4 linked regions of the Saccharomyces cerevisiae S288C genome follow. The gene in region 1 interacts genetically with each later gene. Each region holds a gene or a part of one and is shown in the gene's direction. Other genes may lie near its edges.

The links.
Region 2: mutations in ACH1 (region 1) and MCT1 together harm fitness more than expected from each alone (negative genetic interaction), as found in Saccharomyces cerevisiae (3 studies listed by BioGRID).
Region 3: mutations in ACH1 (region 1) and CIT1 together harm fitness more than expected from each alone (negative genetic interaction), as found in Saccharomyces cerevisiae (3 studies listed by BioGRID).
Region 4: mutations in ACH1 (region 1) and AIM22 together harm fitness more than expected from each alone (negative genetic interaction), as found in Saccharomyces cerevisiae (2 studies listed by BioGRID).

Annotation. Positions count from the first base shown.
Region 1 is NC_001134.8:192,276-196,259, forward strand, and holds ACH1 (acetyl-CoA hydrolase), read left to right. Parts: upstream 1-1,846; coding exon 1,847-3,427; downstream 3,428-3,984. Other genes in the region: mitogen-activated serine/threonine-protein kinase FUS3, read left to right, coding at 176-1,237. UniProt on the Saccharomyces cerevisiae protein: Presumably involved in regulating the intracellular acetyl-CoA pool for fatty acid and cholesterol synthesis and fatty acid oxidation. It may be involved in overall regulation of acetylation during melatonin synthesis.
Region 2 is NC_001147.6:755,957-759,206, reverse strand, and holds MCT1 ([acyl-carrier-protein] S-malonyltransferase), read left to right. Parts: upstream 1-1,648; coding exon 1,649-2,731; downstream 2,732-3,250. Other genes in the region: ODC2 (mitochondrial 2-oxodicarboxylate carrier), read right to left, coding at 1-877; RCN2 (Rcn2p), read right to left, coding at 3,082-3,250. UniProt on the Saccharomyces cerevisiae protein: Involved in biosynthesis of fatty acids in mitochondria.
Region 3 is NC_001146.8:629,117-633,103, reverse strand, and holds CIT1 (citrate (Si)-synthase CIT1), read left to right. Parts: upstream 1-2,042; coding exon 2,043-3,482; downstream 3,483-3,987. Other genes in the region: putative ammonium permease ATO2, read left to right, coding at 1-96. UniProt on the Saccharomyces cerevisiae protein: Specific citrate synthase with catalytic activity only with acetyl-CoA.
Region 4 is NC_001142.9:350,535-354,162, forward strand, and holds AIM22 (putative lipoate--protein ligase), read left to right. Parts: upstream 1-1,851; coding exon 1,852-3,081; downstream 3,082-3,628. Other genes in the region: cullin RTT101, read right to left, coding at 1-1,574. UniProt on the Saccharomyces cerevisiae protein: Catalyzes both the ATP-dependent activation of exogenously supplied lipoate to lipoyl-AMP and the transfer of the activated lipoyl onto the lipoyl domains of lipoate-dependent enzymes.

The DNA of each region.
Region 1 (3,984 bases):
GCGGTTTTTTACAGGGCATTGAAACAATTGCAGAAAAGCAACATACTAATATATCATAACTTTTTACTCTTGCCTCTCAGAAACTATATATACGTTGTAATCATTTTCTTTCTTCTAATAGCTAGTTCGTTTGAACTACAAGGAAATAAGGCAGAGAAAAAGAAAGGAAAATAATATGCCAAAGAGAATTGTATACAATATATCCAGTGACTTCCAGTTGAAGTCGTTACTGGGAGAGGGTGCATACGGTGTGGTATGTTCTGCAACGCATAAGCCCACGGGAGAAATCGTGGCAATAAAAAAGATCGAACCATTCGATAAGCCTTTGTTCGCATTACGTACGCTGCGTGAAATAAAGATCCTGAAGCACTTCAAGCACGAAAATATCATAACAATCTTCAACATTCAACGCCCTGACTCGTTCGAAAACTTCAATGAGGTCTACATAATTCAAGAGCTAATGCAGACAGATTTACACCGTGTAATCTCCACCCAGATGCTGAGTGACGATCATATACAATATTTTATATACCAAACCTTGAGAGCAGTGAAAGTGCTGCATGGTTCGAACGTCATCCATCGTGATTTAAAGCCCTCCAACCTTCTCATAAACTCCAACTGTGACTTGAAAGTATGTGATTTCGGTTTAGCAAGAATCATTGACGAGTCAGCCGCGGACAATTCAGAGCCCACAGGTCAGCAAAGCGGCATGACCGAGTATGTGGCCACACGTTGGTACAGGGCGCCAGAGGTGATGTTAACCTCTGCCAAATACTCAAGGGCCATGGACGTGTGGTCCTGCGGATGTATTCTCGCTGAACTTTTCTTAAGACGGCCAATCTTCCCTGGCAGAGATTATCGCCATCAACTACTACTGATATTCGGTATCATCGGTACACCTCACTCAGATAATGATTTGCGGTGTATAGAGTCACCCAGGGCTAGAGAGTACATAAAGTCGCTTCCCATGTACCCTGCCGCGCCACTGGAGAAGATGTTCCCTCGAGTCAACCCGAAAGGCATAGATCTTTTACAGCGTATGCTTGTTTTTGACCCTGCGAAGAGGATTACTGCTAAGGAGGCACTGGAGCATCCGTATTTGCAAACATACCACGATCCAAACGACGAACCTGAAGGCGAACCCATCCCACCCAGCTTCTTCGAGTTTGATCACTACAAGGAGGCACTAACGACGAAAGACCTCAAGAAACTCATTTGGAACGAAATATTTAGTTAGCCATCATTATCATTAAAATATCAACCCGAAGAACAATGTATACATATACATATACGTACACATATACATATGTACATATGACATACGTATTAGCCGCTGAGGACGCGGACGTATAAAAGGACAATACTTATATGGAGCTAAGGGGAGCAGTTACGCAACTCCGTGATCGCGCGCCACGGGCCGTCGGCGGCTGTTAATTGAAGAAAAAAAAAATGAAGAACCACAAGGGGTGATCCATATAGGTGACTAGCATCATCCCCTGCGACGCGCGGCCCGCCGGGCCAAAGGCGGGCAATGCGCGCTGCTGATTGGCCTCGAGGACAACGCCCTCAACCACATCCGCAACAGCCAATCCCATCGGAGCGTCAAACTACCAAAGTAGTGATTGTATGGATGACCACTGTATTGTGGACGGTAAGCGCTTGCTGGAGCAAATGTGTAATCAAGTTGCTGTGTATATATAGACGTTAGATGTGTTCTACCCCTTCTTTTGTCTTGTGCCCACCGGGCTTACATTAGCACACAAAGCAGCAAGAGACCGTCTTACTAGACAATAGCGGCAAAACAAACAACACATTTCTTTTTTTCTTTTTCACATATTGCACTAAAATGACAATTTCTAATTTGTTAAAGCAGAGAGTTAGGTATGCTCCCTATCTGAAAAAAGTTAAGGAAGCTCACGAGCTTATTCCATTGTTCAAGAATGGTCAGTACCTTGGGTGGTCCGGTTTTACAGGAGTGGGTACTCCCAAGGCAGTGCCGGAGGCACTGATAGATCACGTGGAGAAGAACAATTTACAAGGGAAGTTGAGATTCAACCTTTTTGTTGGAGCTTCTGCTGGTCCAGAGGAAAACCGTTGGGCTGAACACGACATGATCATTAAGAGAGCCCCTCATCAAGTAGGGAAACCCATTGCAAAGGCAATTAACCAGGGTAGAATTGAGTTCTTTGATAAACATCTGTCCATGTTCCCTCAGGATCTGACATACGGGTTCTACACCAGGGAAAGAAAAGACAACAAAATCCTTGATTATACTATAATCGAGGCAACGGCCATTAAAGAGGACGGGTCTATCGTCCCAGGTCCCTCTGTCGGTGGTTCTCCAGAATTCATTACAGTCAGTGATAAAGTGATTATTGAGGTTAACACGGCTACGCCTTCGTTCGAGGGTATTCACGATATAGACATGCCCGTGAACCCACCTTTCAGGAAACCATACCCATATCTGAAAGTGGACGACAAGTGTGGTGTTGACTCCATCCCGGTTGATCCTGAAAAGGTTGTTGCGATTGTGGAGTCCACCATGAGGGACCAGGTCCCACCAAATACGCCCTCTGACGACATGTCCAGGGCTATTGCAGGTCATTTGGTCGAGTTTTTCAGAAACGAGGTAAAACATGGTAGGCTACCTGAAAACCTGCTGCCTTTACAAAGTGGTATAGGTAACATTGCTAACGCTGTCATTGAAGGGCTTGCTGGCGCCCAATTCAAGCACTTGACTGTATGGACGGAAGTGCTGCAGGACTCGTTCTTGGATCTTTTCGAGAACGGATCTTTGGACTACGCCACTGCTACTTCCGTGAGATTGACTGAAAAGGGTTTCGACAGAGCCTTTGCAAACTGGGAAAATTTCAAACACAGATTGTGTTTGAGATCTCAAGTTGTCTCGAACAATCCGGAAATGATCCGTAGATTGGGTGTCATCGCCATGAATACCCCAGTAGAAGTTGACATTTACGCGCACGCCAATTCTACAAATGTGAATGGTTCCCGTATGTTGAACGGGTTGGGTGGATCTGCTGATTTCTTGAGAAATGCAAAGTTGTCCATCATGCATGCCCCCTCTGCAAGACCAACTAAAGTAGACCCTACCGGTATCTCTACCATTGTTCCTATGGCCTCTCATGTAGATCAAACTGAGCATGACCTGGACATCTTGGTCACTGACCAAGGTTTGGCGGATCTAAGAGGTCTATCGCCTAAGGAAAGAGCCCGTGAAATCATCAACAAGTGTGCTCATCCCGATTATCAAGCTTTGTTGACCGATTACTTGGACAGAGCAGAGCATTACGCTAAAAAGCACAATTGCTTGCATGAACCACACATGCTAAAGAATGCTTTCAAGTTCCACACCAACTTAGCTGAAAAGGGTACAATGAAGGTCGACAGCTGGGAACCAGTTGACTAGTGTTTGTGCGCAAACCGAGAGATGAGTATTTAACAAAAAAAAGAAAGGAAATGATATGATTATGATTTTATGTTTATAAAGCTTTTATCCAATGCGTTGTTTTTTCTTGCATATTTATACTTTTTGCGCTCATGGAGGGAGTTAATCAATACGCATGACGTCTAGTTAATTCACAGGTAGTACTGTATATTTATATGTTTACACAATAATTATGTATTAAGTAGTGATTAGTAAAAAAAACTAAGAGGTTGAAAGTCATCAACCCTTATATTAATTTCAACGAATTTCGCTGATGACGTCAGGGTAGTTCTCTTGCTTAGGTCAATGTAAAAATGCCAGGGTAATACAAAACCAAGCTCTGAACCGCCCAACTTATCTGTAATGATGCATGTATACCTTACAATGATTTTTTTTCTCCTATTATGGAATTAATATTGGAATCCATGTTTGTGAACAGCCTTCTCCGCAATTTAGCTTCAAGCTAATAAGTGGTTATTGTTTGCGCGCGCTTGAAGGCAAGGATCATCGCTTTTTTCTTCTCACCATTGAATTTAAGG
Region 2 (3,250 bases), on another chromosome or scaffold:
AAACCACCAACATTAATGAACCACCGGGTGCTAGTCTACATACTTTGGGGACGAAACCTTTGTACAATGCTCTGAAGCCTTCTTCACGGTATATGACCAATAGCGAAGGTAGGCACCAGTTGTATTTTTTAACAGCACTGCTGACCGCGTCCACACTTTGGATTCTGGATTTCACCACGTCAAAGGGAGTGTTAAGCATGGTCCCGACCGTACCACCGATCGCACCTGCAATAAGGTCATTTCTGGTCTTTTGTCCCTTTGTCTTTGCTACGGGCATGGAATTTCTCACTTGGTAGATAACACCGAAGTAGCCACCATTCCAAAGAGCGTTTCTCCACATGGTAGATTCGATACCCTTGTATAGCCCCATAATACCTTCGTTTTTGATTGTTTTTTTCAAACAGTCCATTGGTCCAAGATAGCTGGACTTGACGTCTTGCATCCTGATTTTGATCAATTCAAATGGAACAATAACTGCAGCTTCTGTCATACCAGCAGATGCACCAGCCGCAATGGAGATCTTCTGCGTAGTTTCATTCGTGTTGAATAGGTTTTTGAAGATTTTTTGATATTGATCGTTACATGCAAATTTGGTGGCTCTCTTTGGTGCTTCCATCAACATTGGTGAACTAATACCTCTGTAAAGTCTGCTAAACCCTTCCTTCTTTACAATTTTTTTCAAACAATCGATGACACCATTATATCTCTCTACTTGCTTTCCTACTGCAGCGGCAGTAGGCGTCGTCACCTCCAGTTGAAATCTTGTCTTAACAACATCAAGCGGATACATAACAGTTAACTCAGAAATACCGGCGACGGCACCTGATATGAACTGATATATAAAAGGCAATGGCTTTGCGTTTGAGTCTGATGACATATTACTTTGATGCTACCTCGAATTACTTGACTATATAGAATCTAACCCAGTAAAAAAGTGCAGAAGAGCTTCAGACTGAAAAAACGAAGAGAACGTTTTATAACAGAATTACTTGCAAATGCATGTCGAGTCGAAAGTGATCGCGACTGCACTGAGTCATCAACAACAAGATCTTTCGAGATAGACAGGCAAAAAAAGCTCACCACGAAAAAACTGAAAAAAAAAAAGTTCCAGAGGAATTTGCCTGGCATAGAATAATAGCATTCGTAGTACCACTATTTCATGTTAGAAATGCACAAGCAATTGAATGTCAACGACAGAAGAGGACTAAGTAGTATGCAGAAGAACTAGAACTCCTATCTGAGAAGAACTAATTGGTCAACCATGTCTCATTGTCCTTACATTTGATAAATGCCGATCTTCTAAAACAGTAAACACACGTTAGCATCGCCTTGTGTTAACGAAGTAAAAAGGCTTGCTAAACCGAAAGTACACAATATGCTTGTCTTGAGAAAGTTGGAAGAAAATTATAGGCCCTTAAATATACTCAAAATGCAGAAAGTGTCATCTTCTTACATGGCATTTTTTGGCCGTATGACAAGGCGCATTTCAACCTCCGATGGAGGAAGTAAACTGAGTATCGAACTCAAGGGTAAAACAAAGCTTACCAGTAACTTGCTGCATATTAGAACTATTCAATAACGTACACTGAGGGTAGTAACAAAGCGTTTTGCACTTTTCTGATCGTGGTACACATATATAAGCGTTTGTATGAAGCTACTAACCTTCCCAGGTCAAGGGACCTCCATCTCCATTTCGATATTAAAAGCGATAATAAGAAACAAATCAAGAGAATTCCAAACAATACTGAGTCAGAACGGCAAGGAATCAAATGATCTATTGCAGTACATCTTCCAGAACCCTTCCAGCCCCGGAAGCATTGCAGTCTGCTCCAACCTTTTCTATCAATTGTACCAGATACTCTCGAATCCTTCTGATCCTCAAGATCAAGCACCAAAAAATATGACTAAGATCGATTCCCCCGACAAGAAAGACAATGAACAATGTTACCTTTTGGGTCACTCGCTAGGCGAGTTAACATGTCTGAGTGTTAATTCACTGTTTTCGTTAAAGGATCTTTTTGATATTGCTAATTTTAGAAATAAGTTAATGGTAACATCTACTGAAAAGTACTTAGTAGCCCACAATATCAACAGATCCAACAAATTTGAAATGTGGGCACTCTCTTCTCCGAGGGCCACAGATTTACCGCAAGAAGTGCAAAAACTACTAAATTCCCCTAATTTATTATCATCTTCACAAAATACCATTTCTGTAGCAAATGCAAATTCAGTAAAGCAATGTGTAGTCACCGGTCTGGTTGATGATTTAGAGTCCTTAAGAACAGAATTGAACTTAAGGTTCCCGCGTTTAAGAATTACAGAATTAACTAACCCATACAACATCCCCTTCCATAATAGCACTGTGTTGAGGCCCGTTCAGGAACCACTCTATGACTACATTTGGGATATATTAAAGAAAAACGGAACTCACACGTTGATGGAGTTGAACCATCCAATAATAGCTAACTTAGATGGTAATATATCTTACTATATTCATCATGCCCTAGATAGATTCGTTAAGTGTTCAAGCAGGACTGTGCAATTCACCATGTGTTATGATACCATAAACTCTGGAACCCCAGTGGAAATTGATAAGAGTATTTGCTTTGGCCCGGGCAATGTGATTTATAACCTTATTCGGAGAAATTGTCCCCAAGTGGACACTATAGAATACACCTCTTTAGCAACTATAGACGCTTATCACAAGGCGGCAGAGGAGAACAAAGATTGAGAAAGAGATCAAAACTGCGAACTCTCTCCACTCCCAGTCTGTGCTTCTACGCATTCATTGAAAATGGAAAGAGGACGAAAGTGTGCAAAAAATTAGCCAACTTCCCTTTATATAAATATCGTATACACATACATACATTCCTTCTATACTAATCGCTCTTGGATACACTAAAACAAATCCCTAATGCAAACATACATGTTATTATGCCATACAAAGTAAACACGCAAGTATATAAACGTATAAATGGATATATAGATATCTCTACGCATATTCTTTACATTATCATAGCATGAACCTTTTTCCCTTTTTCTGCTTTGTCTAATTTATAGTATTAGTTATGCTCTAGTGCTCTAATGGAAAAACTCGTTAACCGTTATGCTTGGACTTTTTGGAGGATTTGAGGCAGTAGCGTTTACATCATTTTCGGTACACGATGCAGCATTACTTCTAGTAGAAGTATCAATGGTCAATCCTAGTGGCTTAGAGGCGAAAAGGCATTTGGTGCCTGACGCTGACTTA
Region 3 (3,987 bases), on another chromosome or scaffold:
TGGTACAACGCTTACGCAGGTATTGCCACAAGACAAAACTCGTACATTATGGTCCATCCATTCGCATTACCTAGCAATGATAAGGTGTTCTTCTAAAAACACAAAAGTGCAGGCTAAAATAACTTTTACCCCTATTATATATTCTTATGATCCATTATTTATGAAAAGCCCAGCAAATGTCGAACAAATCGGCCTTTGTTTTATTTCACATAGAATCCTTTATAAAACAACACTGTTCTCATGCATTTCCGAACTATTGTTCTTGTTGTATAGGAGCACGGTTTACCCCTTTTGCTATTGACACATGTAATATCGCATAAAAAAGAAACCGCACTTCATAGTGCATAAGCAGTACAGAAATGATATCACATGTAAGTGATAGCGATTTGACTGTTTGCTACCGACAAGACTATCTGAAATAAGAAAAAAAACGACCCCAGTGAGGGTTGAACTCACGATCTTGCGATTAACAGTCGCACGCCTTAACCAACTTGGCCATGGAGTCACTTTAAATTCTGCAGAACGTGAAAGGTTCGATTTCCATGATCTACACGATTTTAATCATCTGTAAGCCTTGCCATGAAGCTAAATTGGTGAATTTTTAAGAATTGTTTTGTTGGAACGAGAGTAATTAATAGTGACATGAGTTGCTATGGTAACAATCTAATGCTTACATCGTATATTAATGTACACCTCGTATACGTTTAAGTGTGATTGCGCCTATTGCAGAAGGAATGTTAAACGAGAAGCTCAGACAATACTGAAGCTGTGTTAAAGACCTATTAGTTGAACATGTTATGGTAGGTACATATATGAGGAATATGAGTCGTCACATCAATGTTTAGTAACTACCGGAATCACTATTATATTGGTCATGATTAATATGACCAATCAGCGTGTGTTTTATATACATCTCTTATTTAGTATAAGAAGATCAGTACTTATTTCTTCATTAATACTAATTTTTAACCTCTAATTATCAACAGAGGAATATGAGGATTCCTAGATCCTCGAGGAGAACTTCTAGTATATTCTGTATACCTAATATTATAGCCTTTTTCAACAATGGAATCCCAACAATTATCTCAAAAATCACCTAAGCCTCACATGCATGTTTTACGTTGTGGTTGATGATCTATTGATGTTGAGGTACCATATTTTGAAATTCATTAAAACAACTTCTACCGGGCGTGTGGTCTAGAGGTATGATTCTCGCTTAGGGTGCGGGAGGTCCCGGGTTCGAGTCCCGGCTCGCCCCCATTGATTTATTTTTATCAAATTTTTTAATATTGCATATCTTTAGTGGGCAAAAAATTTTTCCCTGGGCAAAAATATAAGAGAGCTCATCTTATTGTTGTCAGCCCAATGATTCCCTTGTCAAATTGAATTTTCGGATTTACTTGTTCAGGTACCCGCGTTAAGGGGCTGCCGCGCCTGTCACTCTAAGAAAAAAGGAGCCATCAAAAACCATTCAGCATTAACTAAAAACGCGGGTAGAGATTACTACATATTCCAACAAGACCTTCGCAGGAAAGTATACCTAAACTAATTAAAGAAATCTCCGAAGTTCGCATTTCATTGAACGGCTCAATTAATCTTTGTAAATATGAGCGTTTTTACGTTCACATTGCCTTTTTTTTTATGTATTTACCTTGCATTTTTGTGCTAAAAGGCGTCACGTTTTTTTCCGCCGCAGCCGCCCGGAAATGAAAAGTATGACCCCCGCTAGACCAAAAATACTTTTGTGTTATTGGAGGATCGCAATCCCTTTGGAGCTTTTCCGATACTATCGACTTATCCGACCTCTTGTTGTTTGAAAATGTCAATTGATATCCATCCATTATATAAATGCTCAAAACTTGCAGCAACTATTCTTTACCCTTCCCCTGTTATGGATTGCTAGTCTTAAGGGGGAAATTTGCTGTTTACTAAAATACAAACCAGGTTTGTTTTGGCTTTTATTTGCATTTAAGTAATTACAATTACAACCATTAAAAAGAAAATAAGGCAAAACATATAGCAATATAATACTATTTACGAAGATGTCAGCGATATTATCAACAACTAGCAAAAGTTTCTTATCAAGGGGCTCCACAAGACAATGTCAAAATATGCAAAAGGCTCTTTTTGCACTATTGAATGCTCGCCACTATAGTAGCGCCTCCGAACAAACGTTGAAGGAGAGATTTGCTGAAATTATCCCAGCAAAGGCAGAAGAAATTAAAAAATTCAAGAAAGAACACGGTAAAACCGTTATTGGTGAAGTTCTTTTGGAGCAAGCTTATGGTGGTATGAGAGGTATTAAAGGCCTTGTTTGGGAAGGTTCCGTGTTAGACCCCGAAGAAGGTATTAGATTTAGGGGTCGTACTATTCCAGAAATTCAAAGGGAACTACCAAAGGCTGAGGGTAGTACAGAACCTTTGCCAGAAGCTTTATTTTGGTTGCTTTTGACTGGTGAAATACCTACTGACGCTCAAGTTAAAGCCCTTTCTGCTGATTTAGCTGCCAGATCAGAAATTCCAGAGCACGTTATCCAACTTTTAGATAGCCTCCCAAAAGATCTACATCCAATGGCGCAATTTTCTATTGCCGTGACTGCTTTAGAAAGCGAGTCTAAGTTTGCCAAAGCATATGCTCAAGGTGTATCCAAGAAAGAATATTGGAGCTATACATTTGAAGATTCGTTAGATCTGCTGGGTAAATTACCTGTTATTGCTTCCAAAATTTATCGTAATGTGTTCAAGGATGGTAAAATTACTTCAACCGATCCTAATGCTGACTATGGTAAAAATTTGGCCCAACTTTTGGGCTACGAAAACAAGGATTTTATTGACTTAATGAGACTATATTTAACTATTCATTCTGATCATGAAGGTGGTAACGTTTCTGCCCATACTACACATTTAGTGGGTTCTGCCTTATCTTCGCCATACTTATCTTTGGCCGCTGGTTTGAATGGTTTAGCTGGCCCATTACATGGTCGTGCCAATCAAGAAGTTTTAGAATGGCTATTTAAATTGAGAGAAGAAGTGAAAGGTGACTATTCAAAAGAAACAATTGAAAAGTACTTGTGGGATACTTTGAACGCAGGGAGAGTTGTTCCTGGTTATGGCCATGCGGTTTTGAGAAAAACTGATCCTCGTTATACGGCTCAACGTGAATTCGCATTGAAACATTTCCCAGATTACGAGTTATTTAAGTTGGTCTCCACCATTTATGAAGTTGCCCCAGGGGTTTTAACTAAGCATGGTAAAACTAAGAACCCATGGCCAAATGTTGATTCACATTCCGGTGTTTTATTGCAATACTATGGTCTAACTGAGGCTTCGTTCTACACTGTATTGTTTGGTGTTGCCAGAGCTATTGGTGTGTTACCCCAATTAATCATCGATAGGGCTGTTGGTGCTCCAATCGAAAGGCCAAAATCATTCTCCACCGAAAAATACAAGGAGTTGGTAAAGAAAATCGAAAGTAAGAACTAAGGAAAATTTGATTTTTGATTCAGGGTATGCGACTATTCAAACACGTATTTTCATATACGAATGAGTAGTTTATAATTTATATAAATATATATTACATAAGGAAATGGCTATGACTTCATGATTTTTACGCTTTGAGTCCCCTATGCCTACCGGTTATGTTATATACTTGGCAAATGATATCAATGAATAGAAAACAAAATGCTCTTAAATTCCTGCAAAGCGCTTTCAAATCGAATTGTGGTGGGCTGGCGCGCTGATTTAGCAGTAAAATCTAGCCTGTAGTCGATATACTACGTCAAGGTGTAACTAACGTTTATATGTATATGAACCTGCAGAAGAAGCAAAATGACAAGGTTAATGCATCTTTATCTGTCCTAGAGTAGAAGATACACTAAAAAGTTGATAAAGCGAATATAATATGGTCATGTGAAAAAAGCAATCTCATAAAATTTTCTCTTTTTCCTTTTTTTCTTCTGTTCTTACCTCAAGATAAATGTCACTTTTA
Region 4 (3,628 bases), on another chromosome or scaffold:
ATGATTCTTTGTTTGAAAAGTTCCATGAGGCTGTCTTTGTAAACAGGTAATATATCCTTAATAAATGAGGAATTTTGATCACTTTGTAAGATCGTCTTTCTGAAAATTGATCTTTCGAAAAAATTAGGAAATGTGGGAAGGTTAACGAACTTCAGTCTCAATATAGGAAGATTTTCGTTGAGATACTTTATTTTCATATCTCTGGGTAGGTCTTTTTTAGTTGTTTTTATCTTTCTGACGATGATGAATAAATGTGACTCAAAATATTTGACATACTGTTCTATGGCTTTGCTGGTACTTCCAAGTAAATTACATAAATGGTACTCGATGGAATCGGAGTATATTTTGAGGTGATCTACATTAGCTAGCTGAACTACCTCATCAAATAGCCTTTCAGTATCATGATTGGATCCATATGCTGCCTTTAACTTTTCTGAAACGGCATCATCACAGAATTCCTTGAATTTTGACAGCATATTTTTTGCTTCAAAAGCATTTCTAAACATCAATAAGCTAAAGTGTGTCTCAGTTTTGAAATATCTCTCTTTTTCTTCATCATAAGTGTCCTTCCCAATTTCTATGTATTCGCTAATAGACTTCTTGTTCAACAGTAGATGGCTTATAAATAGGTCATTTGCATCGCTGACCCATTCAGGGGAAAATAAAGATGCTAATAATGCATTCCTCGTCAATAGTACCTTAAAATTCTTGAAAGTTTCCAGCCTCGGCCTTAAATTTGATTCCTCACAGTAATATTGTCTGAGAGTTTTCATATAAAAATCTTTGGGGCTCAAGCCCTCTATACTAAAATTGCAGTTAGACATTATACGGAGCATAGGAACTTCCTTCTCTAACATTGTATTCGTTATTGGAAACATATGAATATAGTGATGAATAGTAGCGCTTACAAGGGTGGAAAATTCCCTTCCAAAATGTGACTTCATACATTCGAAAAGTTTGGAATCATAATACTGAAATATCGTTAAGGTCTCAAATCCTAGTTCTTTTCTTATCATGGGATAATTTACCGGCACATACGATATAATAGGACCAACGGCACCCATTACGTACTGAAATAGCTTGTAAAAAGAGGTCCAATTTTTGGGTATAATTTCATAAGAATAGTCGCATCTGGTCAAAAAGCTAAGGACGTGCGCGTCAATTATTAACTTTGCCAATTCATCACAAAATTCTTGAAAACTCAGCACAATTTGGTGTTGATGTAGCAGCTGAAACTTCTTTTGCTTTTCGTCATTCCCATTAAATTCTGAGTTGTAAGGAATGTATGATTTCCTTTGCGTTAATTCACGGCAATTGTTCAACATCTTAGGCATTAGCTTTCTAAATTTAGCGGCCTTTTCTTTATTACACTCCAATTCTTTCACGTCAGTTTCAGTTATAGTTTCAGCTAAAGTAAGGTGAAAAAACTCGTGCAGCTCAGCAATCATCGTTCGATACCTGGGATTTCGCTCATCGTTAAATTTATTGTATAGTCCTAAAGCGTTGCTTGCACTCGTCTCTCTGCTTATAGACTCGTGGAATCCTTCTCTCTTGGAAACGCTCTCATTTATCATTGTTCCTGTGAACCCGTACGAGAATTTATACCAGTAAAAAAGATTGGTGGGTTTAATATCTTGAGGATTCCTTCAAAGTAGTCTTTTAGTGCAAAGATATCGATGATCTTCATTCGCATTGTTCATATTCATCATTACGCAAAGGATAGCTATGCGTTCCGCTTCGTCATACTTAATCAGGAATATTGAACATCCAAAAATCTCCGAGCTCACGTATGTAGAATTTTTGATGAATACAAAAGAAGAAAACACTAGACTTTTCTTTGATGTTTACATTATGTCTATGATGCTAAGTAATTGGGCACTCTCCCCTCGATATGTGGGACAGCGAAACCTCATACATTGCACCACTTTATTTCACACACTTACACGATGGGCAAAAGACGCAGACGATAAATATCATGATATAAACTCAATGTATGAAAACATGTTTACACCTTCAAATGATAACGTTTCAATTTTGCAGGATGAAGGTAAATCTGATTATGATACGACGAAGGCCAGCTCTATGGAAGAAGATATCAGTGCTTTTAATAAAGACTTGTACAATTTCTATAATATTGGATATGCCAAACAGATCATGTCTGCTTCACAATTGGAAAATATAGTAAAGGCAAAGGGCAGATTTGTTATACAAAGTTTATCCACCAGTCCTTATTATAATTTGGCCCTTGAAAACTATGTTTTCAAGAATACACCAAGAGCCAAAAGAGGTCCCGATAATTGCAGACTGTTATTTTACATCAATGATAGGTGCGCCGTTATAGGCAAAAACCAAAATCTGTGGCAGGAAGTAGATCTTGCTAAGCTGAAGAGTAAGAATTTCGAACTACTTAGAAGATTTTCTGGAGGTGGCACTGTACTGCATGATTTGGGCAATGTTAATTATTCATATTTAACATCAAGGGAGAAATTCGAAACAAAGTTTTTCAACAAAATGATAATTAAGTGGTTAAATTCATTGAATCCCGAACTAAGACTAGATTTGAATGAGAGAGGAGATATTATTCAGGACGGGTTTAAAATTAGTGGCAGTGCTTATAAAATTGCCGGTGGCAAAGCATACCATCATGCAACGATGTTGCTTAATGCGGATTTAGAACAGTTTAGCGGCTTATTAGAACCCTCACTACCGAACAATATGGAATGGGAGTCAAGTGGAGTTCATAGTGTAAAATCAAAAATCAAAAATGTTGGTATAATTACTCCTAATCAGTTCATTGCAGTGGTATCCGAGCGTTTTCAGAAAACATTCAAAGTTGACGGCGAAATACCTATATATTACTGTGACGAGTTTAAATCTATAAACGATGAGATTAAAGATGCTATGAACACCTTACAGAGCGAACAATGGAAATATTTCTCGGGGCCTAAATTTTCAGTGAAGATTAAAGATAAAGGCTTAACAATTAAAGTCGAAAAGGGCATGATTTATGATTGTGATAGAAATGATTTAATCGGCTTGGAATTCAAAGGATTTTTGGAGAATATTGACAGTTACACATAACGTTGATGAATATTTCAATTCACTTGTAAATAACGTAGGTAAATATCAAAATTAAAGTCTTTCACCGGAAACTGATTCAGCATATTTCAGCAGACGCGTCCTAGATTCACAGCAAACTTCAATATAAGCGATACATTAGGAGTGTTCGTACTTTAGATCTATAAGAACTATATTTTGTTACGATTCAGCCGTCTCTAAATGTGAACTAAATATTTATACTGTTATTTGAGAAACCGACAGATAGTACTTAATTTTATCGATCATCTAAGAATAGCATCGGTATTGTGGTGACATTTATTGAATTTCTTCCGCTCCAGAATAAAGTTCCTTTTCACTTCAAAAAACTGCCACCAGTAAAGTTGCACCAGTGGTTTTTGAGCATTTTTTGTCAATGTCGCTTAACCGTTCTTGAACTGTATCCTCTTGACGTCGATAAAATCATTTGTAAAAACCAGGCCAAATCATCATTGAATAATTTACACTGTGTCTTCAATGTCGCCATTTGGACCAATAATTATCAAACTGTTCACAATTCACTCAAAGTCCT